Linked DNA regions of Schizosaccharomyces pombe. Changing the gene in region 1 together with any one later gene gives a genetic interaction. Each region holds a gene or a part of one and is shown in the gene's direction. Other genes may lie near its edges.

The links.
Region 2: of cki2 (region 1) and fab1, changing one suppresses a phenotype caused by changing the other (phenotypic suppression), as found in Schizosaccharomyces pombe (one study listed by BioGRID).

The regions. Positions count from the first base shown.
Region 1 is NC_003423.3:969,809-974,756, reverse strand, and holds cki2 (serine/threonine protein kinase (CK1 family) Cki2), read left to right. Parts: upstream 1-2,018; 5' UTR 2,019-2,308; coding exon 2,309-2,434; intron 2,435-2,486; coding exon 2,487-2,556; intron 2,557-2,615; exon of another isoform or gene 2,616-2,623; coding exon 2,624-2,772; exon of another isoform or gene 2,773-2,837; coding exon 2,838-3,800; 3' UTR 3,801-4,150; downstream 4,151-4,948. Other genes in the region: nucleoporin, WD repeat Nup131, read left to right, coding at 1-140, 180-534, 576-1,708; SPOM_SPBP35G2.04C (uncharacterized protein), read left to right, coding at 4,723-4,793, 4,886-4,948. UniProt on the Schizosaccharomyces pombe protein: Casein kinases are operationally defined by their preferential utilization of acidic proteins such as caseins as substrates. May contribute to the regulation of morphology.
Region 2 is NC_003423.3:2,656,347-2,661,393, reverse strand, and holds the start of fab1 (1-phosphatidylinositol-3-phosphate 5-kinase Fab1), read left to right. Parts: upstream 1-1,936; 5' UTR 1,937-2,050; coding exon 2,051-5,047. Other genes in the region: heat shock protein Hsp16, read left to right, coding at 473-904.

The DNA.
Region 1 (4,948 bases):
AACTTTTTTTGAAAAAGTGCCTGAATATAAATTTGTTATTACAGCATTTAAGCTCGGAATATTCTCAAATATCTGGCCAAGATGCTAGCAACGCACAAAAAAGAATTGAAGTAATAGTAAATGTTAATAACGTTTATGGGGTATGTTTCTTATAAAATAACGAGGTTTACTAATATTAGACTATCTTTGGAAATGAGCTTGCTTATAGGCAAGAAAAAATATCAAAATTTACTGATCCATCCTCTGTGATTAGAAGCGACCTTTGGACAGTTGAAGTTGATCACTTAGATTTACTACGAAAACAGATCGAAGATTCGATATCATTGCATCGCGATGTACGTGACTCGAAAGATGCACACATATTAAAAGTCAGTAACAAGCTTCGGAAGCAGATTTTGCATCTGGTGGAACAAAATTGCCTTTTGATCTTTGATTTGCACAATGGAACAGATGATACCATAGTAAAATCGCATAATTTTCAAAAATTTGAAGAAGAATTTGGCAATTCACGAAAAGAATGGTTACAATATTTAGGTAAGCTGTTTCTCACTTTCTTGTTTCCGCTAACAAAGAAGCTTCTGTCGGATATTTGGAAAAGGCAATCGACTTGGCGGAAAAAGTTAAAGACTTTCAGACAATGGTAATTTTGCTGGATTGTCTAGATCCAAAGGATCCTACCATTAAGCTTCAAAAGCAAAAAGCATGCTTAAATAAATACAAAGAAGAATTCGCAGATGTAATTTTTTTTTATTTGGTTGATACAGAGCAGTATGCGTCTTTGCTTCATGATTTCTTGGAGTATCAATCACTTTTAATATCTTTTTTTGAAGCCAATGATTTATTGAATCTTTTGTGGATATTTGAAGCTCAAAATGGAAATTATGGACGAGCCTCCGAAATTCTTTTCCGTGATTGTGAACCAGAAGAAAACAGGATTATCGGTAAAATTTCGCAGTTAGCTCTAGCAAAGCTCTACTCATGGACTAATAGAATTGAAGGTGAAAATATCATATTGTCAAATGAGACTGAGGTGATTGAAAATCATTTAGCCATTTTGCTTATTCAAGAGCAATATGCTGAAATGCTTTCATCACTTGTGGATATTACAGAAGACGAGGGAGAAGCTGTCGAAGCAATAGTAACTTCCAATTGTGTAAATCTATCAGAAAACTCTATCAGAGCCTGGCTCGTGTCTAGTGCTGTTGAGCGATTAATTCAAAACGAATACACTACGCTTTGTGAGATGGTAGATTTCTTTTCTTCTTTTTCATTACGGGAATGTTCATTCAAAGAAGTTGATTTGGCCTTAGAGTTATTAGAAAGAGCTACAATCACTAAGGACGTGTATTTTTACTTAAAAGATCTCGTATATCGCCGTTTTCTATTACAGGTGAACTGGGCAGAAATCATCGATGCGCATGAAGATTTAGAATCTTCATTTTTTCCAATGGTAAAGGAAATTATGTTAGAATCAGACTTTTTAATATGGTTACAACATATGGAACACAATATTCACGACGAAAGTAAACATTACTTGAAATCGGAAAAAAATTTTTTGCAAAGTGTATATTCTTCACTTTCTGAGTCGCAAGTGGAAGATTATCAAATGGAGCTTTTTCGTGAAAAGCAAATTTTCTCAGTACTATGTAAAGATAGAGAGTTATACATTCTGATTCCGAAACTTCTGGACGTAGCAACAAAACAATGAAATGAAATTTTGCTATATATTACTTTACATTTCCTCAGTAATCGATAAACACCTGTTTAAACCTAGTACTACTTATGTTTGTATAATCTATCGTATAGCCTCAGCTCCGACAACTCCGTTTTTACGATGGTAGATGCTAGATAATCACTGGTTAGAATATTTACGGCTTAAAATAATTAAATTTTTTTATTATAGATTCTTGATTTATTATGATGATTGCGCCTTCGGGGCTTTTTCCCTGTCCTGGATAGCCTCACCCTTACGTTGGAAATTAAGCTAAGGCCTAGTGTGTTGCATCCAAGTACACCTTACAACTAACGTCCACTAAAACACTCAAACCACATAATCATTTGTTAGTCGAAAGAAAGCCTGTAACTTCTATTAAATTATAGTAATTGGTTTTCTAAATTTTGTTGTTTTTGGTCGGCTACTGAATCGCAATTGGACTTCAATCTCTGTGGTGAATGCAGTGAAAACAAACTGAGATTTGTGTGGCATTTGTTAGTGAGGCTACAAATTGACTACATAAAAACTGCATAGTCCTTGCAATAAAAAAAATTTTATCTGTTCGGTCAATTCCTTGTGACAGGGTTATTTATCATGAATTCCCAAACGAGCGTAGTAGGGGTTCACTATCGCGTGGGTCGTAAAATAGGTGAGGGATCGTTTGGTGTTATTTTCGATGGGATGAATCTTTTGAATAACCAACTTATTGCTATAAAATTTGTATGTTCTTTGTTAGGATGAGTATATGGACAATACTAACAATGGACGTTAGGAACCCAAAAAGTCGGAGGCACCTCAGCTCCGTGATGAATACAGAACTTATAAATTACTAGTTGGAAATGGTATGTTTTTATTTTGCTACCCAAAACATATGGTCAAGACTTTGGTACTAACCGTATTTGCAAATAGCTGGCATTCCTAATGTTTACTATTTCGGGCAGGAAGGACTACATAATATCCTTGTTATTGATTTACTGGGACCTAGTTTAGAGGACCTATTTGAATGGTGCGGTCGTCGATTCAGTGTCAAAACGGTGGCTATGACGGCGAAACAGATGGTAAGTTTCCTAAGTTGTTCCTATAAGGTTTTCAATTTGTTTAAATTTTCTCTGACATTTCAAAGCTTTCCAGAGTTCAGACGATTCATGAAAAAAACCTTGTTTATAGAGACATCAAACCCGATAATTTCCTAATAGGCCGACCTTCCTCTCGAAATGCAAACATGGTATATATGGTTGATTTTGGTATGGCCAAATATTACCGTGATCCCAAAACCAAGCAACATATACCATATAGTGAACGTAAAAGCCTCTCGGGGACTGCGAGATATATGAGTATAAACACGCATCTTGGACGTGAACAATCCCGTCGCGATGACTTAGAATCGTTGGGACACGTCTTTATGTATTTTTTGAGGGGAAGTTTACCTTGGCAAGGATTGAAAGCTGCCAACAATAAGCACAAATACGAAAAGATTAGTGAAAAGAAGCAATCTACCTCCATTAGTGAGCTTTGTGCTGGATTTCCTAATGAATTCAGTAAATACATGACTTATGTGCGTTCGTTAGAATTTGATGAAGAACCGGATTATGCGTTTTTACAAGAGTTATTTGATGATGTACTTCGAGCAAATGGTGATACGAATGATGGGGTTTATGATTGGATGTTATTGAATGACGGTAAAGGTTGGGAGTCAAGCTCTTCTCATTTTTCTGTTGTTGCTATGAAGCGACGAAAGAATTACCTTGGCTTAAATGTTGTTCAAAATGATGATTCCAGAAAAAAGAACAGTACTTTGCAAACACAGAACATGCGATTTAAATCCTCATATGGGGTGAGAGGTCCTAGAAATTACTCATCGTTCGATGCGTTGCCGAGCAAAAACGCTCCATTGGTGCGTCAAGAACAGTCTGCTTCTAAAAAAACAATTTATGCTCATTCTTCTAGAGGTTACGATAGGGTTCGACCTATGTATGTATCTCAGCCCTCGAATAATGCAGTCGGAGTAAATCATCCTAACGATAATTCTGATTCGGAAGCAAAAGGAGGATTTTTTGATATGATATGCTGTCGTTGCTTTTCTTAGTTTCGAAGCTTCAACTATTGTTAGAGTCACTCACTTTCTTAACTTAAATAAGTGTTGTTCTACTATGCGGTAGATATGCTTTCACAATATCAATCATTTGATGATTTGGTTTTCAGAGTACGGGATAAATGGTTCATCTTTTTTTAATATTAATTTGAGAAACGCTGTATAGCGTCTTTGAGCGGGTGCTTAAATCAAATTCTTTAATTATTTCGATTGCAAATTTGCTGGCACTAGCCTACTTTGCTGGTTCTCGTTTAATCTTTTAATGTTGCTTTCCTTTAACATAACTCAATATTGTCTTAAAACTGACATTGTACTATTGTAGTAAATAATATATACATACACATATATAACCAAACCATATGTATTCTAGGTACTAACAATTGGTAAAATGACAACGGAAGCTAATTCGTTTTCAATTACAAATAAATAGAATAAAAGAAAGGAATTCTTTTTATACTGATTCGTGTAATATATTTTTTAGCTGGACATTCAAAAAATAAACTATACGTGTCTTAAAGTATTTGAACTGGACAAATGCCATATGATTTATTGGAAACTAGGTAATTTCTTTTGAGTAATGGTAAATCCCTTTTTAGTAAAGGAAACAATCAGCAACAAATAAAGAAAAAATTTTGACTTATTGGGTTATAATTACTGCAGCGTATACCTAATATGCTGTATACGACCTCTTCAAAAACTAACGCTAAAATCTGTCAAACCATAGTATGTAATTTTTATTTTTTTTTCTCTATGGCGTAGATATAATTTCGTATCAAGACTGTAGACTTGAAGTTTTAACCCAAGTTTTATCAGGTGTTAAATAGATCTCCCTTTTCTAACTTCTTAGTGCGTGCACATGCATGTGCATGTGTGTTAAACGATTTGAGTCTAAAATTGACAAGAGCGGCTTCGAAATATGATATCTAATAGCTCCATTGAGGATAGAATTAATAAAAATGAAGCATATATAGCCAAGTTTTTTGAAATGTGTGTGTAATTATAAGAATTTCTGTGTTTGTCGCCTGAAGTTTTAAAATTTAAAGTGAATGATTTATGAGTTTACTTACTAACTTTATTAGATTTTCTAAAAATGATAAAATTCGCTTCCATGGAGTCTCACTTGACCGAAAAGCACTTGACTC
Region 2 (5,047 bases), 1.7 Mb from region 1:
TTGACTACAAAGTAAAAAAAAAAATAAGGTAAAGGAAACGATATACAGTCAATGAAATGAGTATTTTTCTAACTCTACTAGAATGATTATTTTCTAGATCTCTCTAGAAAGATAGCACAGCCTTGCGTACCGAAGTTTATATTTGAATCTGCCTCGGTTGTGGCGCATAAGTGGCAAATTTGGACTTTTCTAGAGCAAGCACTAACGAACATCTAAGTCCACCCAATACAGAGTTTGAGTGTTAGCAAAAGACGCCGTTCCGAAAGTACAAACTCCGGCAAATTCGTGATCTTTCACAACGTTTACGAGAAAATTCGAGTCATCGTACAATATATGACATCCATCCCATTCCGTGCTTCCCAGAAAGGTATAAATAAGGGTACTCCTTCCGCTAGTCCAGCATCGAACAAATACAGATTTGAATTGAATTCATATAATTTCAAGTTACTCGCAATTGTTTAAATTTTAAAAAATGTCTTTGCAACCTTTTTTCGGCTTTCCCCCTACTGTCAACGACTTGTTCTCTGACTTTGTTAGTTACTCCCCTCGTTTGAACAACCAAATTCCTGGGGAGTTGTCTCCTTCGATTGATGTGCATGAGGGTAAAGACACTGTTAGCGTTGATGTAGAACTCCCTGGTGTTAAGAAAGAGGACGTTCAAGTCCATTATGATAGCGGAAAACTTACTATTTCTGGCGAAGTCGTCAATGAGAGAAAGAATGAAAGCACCGAGGGTAACCAACGCTGGTCAGAGCGTCGCTTTGGCTCATTCTCTCGTACCATTACTATTCCAGCCAAGATTGATGCAGATCGCATTGAGGCCAACTTCAGTAATGGCCTATTGACTGTCACCTTGCCCAAGGTCGAGAAGTCCCAAACTAAGAAACAAATTGCTATTAAGTAAAATCGTCTCTTCCGATTTTAATATGATAGTTTCGAAATGGTTATGAGACCAATCTTGTTGGATTGTGAGCATATATTATTGTTTGATTTAACAATCAATCATAACATATGCAATTAATGATCCGCTTGCCATTGGATTGATGAATTTTGATAATGAATTGAACACGGTCTTCTAAACAGTAAAAGAGCATTTAAATTCCACATCAAGCAATTTATGGCCAGCTGTCAGACAGTGTTTTAATGATCTTGACTACCACTTGTTACGATTCTCCAATGATGAGCAAGTGATCTCTAGCAATTTTTCAAAATAAATAAATAAATAAATATTTTTTTATTCCTAATTAGAAAACAAGTTGTTTCAAAATGCTCTATCGTAATATGTGTAGATTTATTTTTATTTTTTTCAAAAAAAAAGAACAGTATTATGTAGCTCCTAATGAATTAACAGGAGTTACATTAGCATATCATAAAGTTGTGTATGCTCTTTGAGTCTTAAATCACCGGGGCAATGAAATCGTCTTCCTTTTGCGGAGATCTGATAATATGCTCTTAACAATTTTTGGTTTTATTAGTGAGCCATAAGGTTTGTTTAAGCGGAAGTTTTGTGATTTCATGTTAGGGACAAGGGCTTCATAGATGTGTTCCTTTCTATTTTTATTCTTTATATTACTAGTTCATTGGTTCATGGACACGCTAACCTAAAAGTAGTTAAATCTCCTTGGCCTTGAGCGAGTGTTTCCATACTACCACTAATCCTTGGGTGATCCAATGTTTCCTATAAAAAAAAGTACACATAAATATATAGCCTAGGGTACCTTTCTTTTTCAGTAATCAACATACAGTTTAAAGTTAAGAATGTTATGGTTTTCGTGTGTGATTAAACCAAATTCTTGTTTGCTATAATATCTAGCTCTACAGTAAAGCCGAAAGCTCTTGTATTGCTATGGCTTTGTAAAACTTAAATTCGGCGAATCTCGTTAATATACACTATTCTATCAACACCAAAACCTAAAGTATTTATTATCAAACAGCTGCGTTTAACGTACATGCTTTTCGATATAACAATCATGACAATTCATAGAACTTAATTAATAGAACCAATAATTTCCGGAGATAATTTTAATCTTCGGTTTGCATTTCTGTTCAAATGTCAGAAGTCGAAACGCCTACCGCAGCCTCGCCCACTTTTCCTGTTGAAACCTCTCACCGTTTAGATACTTTGCATACATCAAGCACAGAGCAAATCATTAAAGATTCCGAGAATGTTGTCCACACTACGTTGAAATTGCCGACTAGTACGTTGTCGCGCGAATTTTGGATGAAAGATGAAAGAACAAACAACTGTTCATTATGTGAGACGGAATTTACTTTATTTCGAAGGAAACATCATTGTAGAATATGTGGGAAAATTATCTGCAAATATTGCTTAAAAGAAGCTCCTGGATTTATCTTTCGTCTCCAAGGATCGATCAAAGTGTGTCGTCCATGTGCTTCAATTTTAGTTAATAATTATTCTCGAAGCCAGCTATTCAATCATTCATTAAACGAATCCAAAAATAGAGATCTTACGGAGCAACATCCGTTTGTTACACTGGACGAACTTAATTCGAATGATCAAGTACTATCATCATTTGGAGATTTAAGTAGCACATTTGAGATGCCTAATAATATTCATCCTCCTGAAGTTGCTCCAATGATAGCTATTCCCTCTAGTCGCTCGAATTATGATTCTCCTGGTTGGGCTCACCATTCCATCTTTCTTGACTGGAGCAAAAGGAATTTAGATTCGAATGTTATAAATGTTGAAGATTCCGAAAGTGGTAAATATAATGCTTTAACCATTACAAATAGTTACGATGCTGGTCCTAGCTCTGTTTCCACAGATTATCGTCCCGTCAATTTTGGAAAAGTACCTTCATACTCAAAGTTAAGAAAGAATAAAGCGTTTTCCTCAGCGAAAGTCTCTGATATGTACTTGTCGGCTGATGAAAGAAACCGGCTCGAGGATTTTAGCAAAGGCGACAGAGGCCTTTCATTTGTTAACCTTTCTCCAAATATAAAAGCAACGTCTTACGATCGATTGAGCACAGTAATAAATGAACCCTTTATTTCAAGAAGTTCTTCCTTGACTGATGAACGGGGTTTGGCCGATTCGGGCAATTCCTATCATCATTTCTCCGACTCCGACGATGAATCACTATTCAATGATGGATTGGGCCTTTCTTTTCATGCCAATAGTGCAATTATTAAGCAACGCCAGCAAAATGTTGCATCAATTCAGCGTTACGGTAATGAAAGTTACTTATCAAATTTTTTAAAAGCTTTTCTTCCGAAAACGGTTTGCGACTATCTTTTTCCTTCTTCTACTATTCCCGATGGACTTCCCGCTTTAATTGAAAACTTCAATGCGCGAGTTGATAAGGTGAATCATCCCGGTGGAACAGAAGAGCCTCTTCCTTACCAGGGAAAGTCGCGTGCTTCTTCTGTAGTTACCTCTTCCAAAAGCACATGTATTTTACCACCTTGGATTCTCTTCTCTGATTCATTTAATCAGCTTGTATGTACTTTTCTGGGAAAATTACTCTTTCAAATGCTAAATGATGAGGGTGTGGATTCGCCTATGCAATGGGTACTTTGTCTCCCAAAAATTCTTTTAAAAATGGCTTTGGATCTAGGTCCTGATATTCGCTCTGGTGATGATATTGATGTCCGCAGCTATGTAAAAATAAAAAAGATTCCCGGGGGAAGCATTCAAGATTGTTTTCTTGTTAATGGTGTTTTGTTCTCAAAAAAAGCTTCGTCCAAATCTATGGACCGCTCGCTTCGTCGGCCTCGTATAGCTCTTTTAACTTTCAGTTTAGACTACGCTTGTGACGAACAGAGAATTTTATCCTTGGATTTAATCATCTCTCAGCAAGAAGAGTATATTATAAATCTTGTCAATAGAATCTGCATGCTTAAACCGAATCTAGTTTTTGCTCAGGGTCAAATCCCCAGTATTGCCTTGAAGTACTTTGAAGAACATGGCGTTATAGCCTTTCATGGACTTAAAGAATCAGTTTTATATGACATAGCTAGATGTTGTCGTGCAGACATAATATCGTCAATAGATAAATTGTCGCTTTGTCCTCGTCTTGGTACTTGCGGCAGGTTTCAACTCAGAACGTATGTTGTCGATGAAAACAAAGGGTTGAGGAAAACGTTTGCTATACTTGATCGCTGCTCGGAACGTTTAGGCTGCACCATAGTTCTAAGAGGAGCTGATTATAATCAGTTGAGCAAGGTCAAGAAGATTGTCGAACTTGTTGTTTTGATTGCATATCATATCAAACTTGAATGTGCCTTGTTAAGAGACAAATTTGTGAATATGCCGGAGCTTTTTGAAACAACCTATCAAAGTTTGTCTAGGAAATCGTTGCCTTCGTTTGCCTCTACTGCAGCTGATAAAGAGAAAAGCCAAAATCATGAAAAAAAATCTCTGAACAGTGATAATCAAAGTTTGCGACCTTTGGAAAATGAAAATCAAAGTGTTTCTAGCACCCAAGGTAGCAACAGCCCGCTTGAGTTGATCAATAACTTACCAGCCTCAGATGACTATTCTTCTATTACCAAGGCTTTGAAAACCAGATTTTTAACGTTTTCACCCTTTTTATCAAAGCCTCTTCCACGTTTATTAAACCAAGTTAATTATTACCAGTTTATTCGTAACAAATTACTGAAAGATGTGAAGTTACATCCATACTCACCAACTGGCTCATTCGTAATGAAGCAGTCCGAAAATGACAATGTAGAAGAAAGTTACGAAGAGTCCTATAAATTCTTTTGTATTGATGAACGTTATCATTTTTTAGAAAAGCAGTGGACACTTTATTACTCTCATTCAAAACTCATGTTTTCTCCATTTTCTTCTCAAAGGATTATTTTGTTATATTCCATTATTAACAAGGAAACTTCTGTTCCTTGTATTGGCCCTGAACGTTGTCTATTAGAATTTTATCGAGAAACTGATTGCACTCTTGGTCAGTACATAGAGGACTCATGCTTGAATACCAATGTAAGTTGTGGAGGTGAGTATTGTAAAACGAATGATATGCTGTGGCATTACAGGAGTTATGTTCATGGAAATAGTCGGATCAGCGTTTTT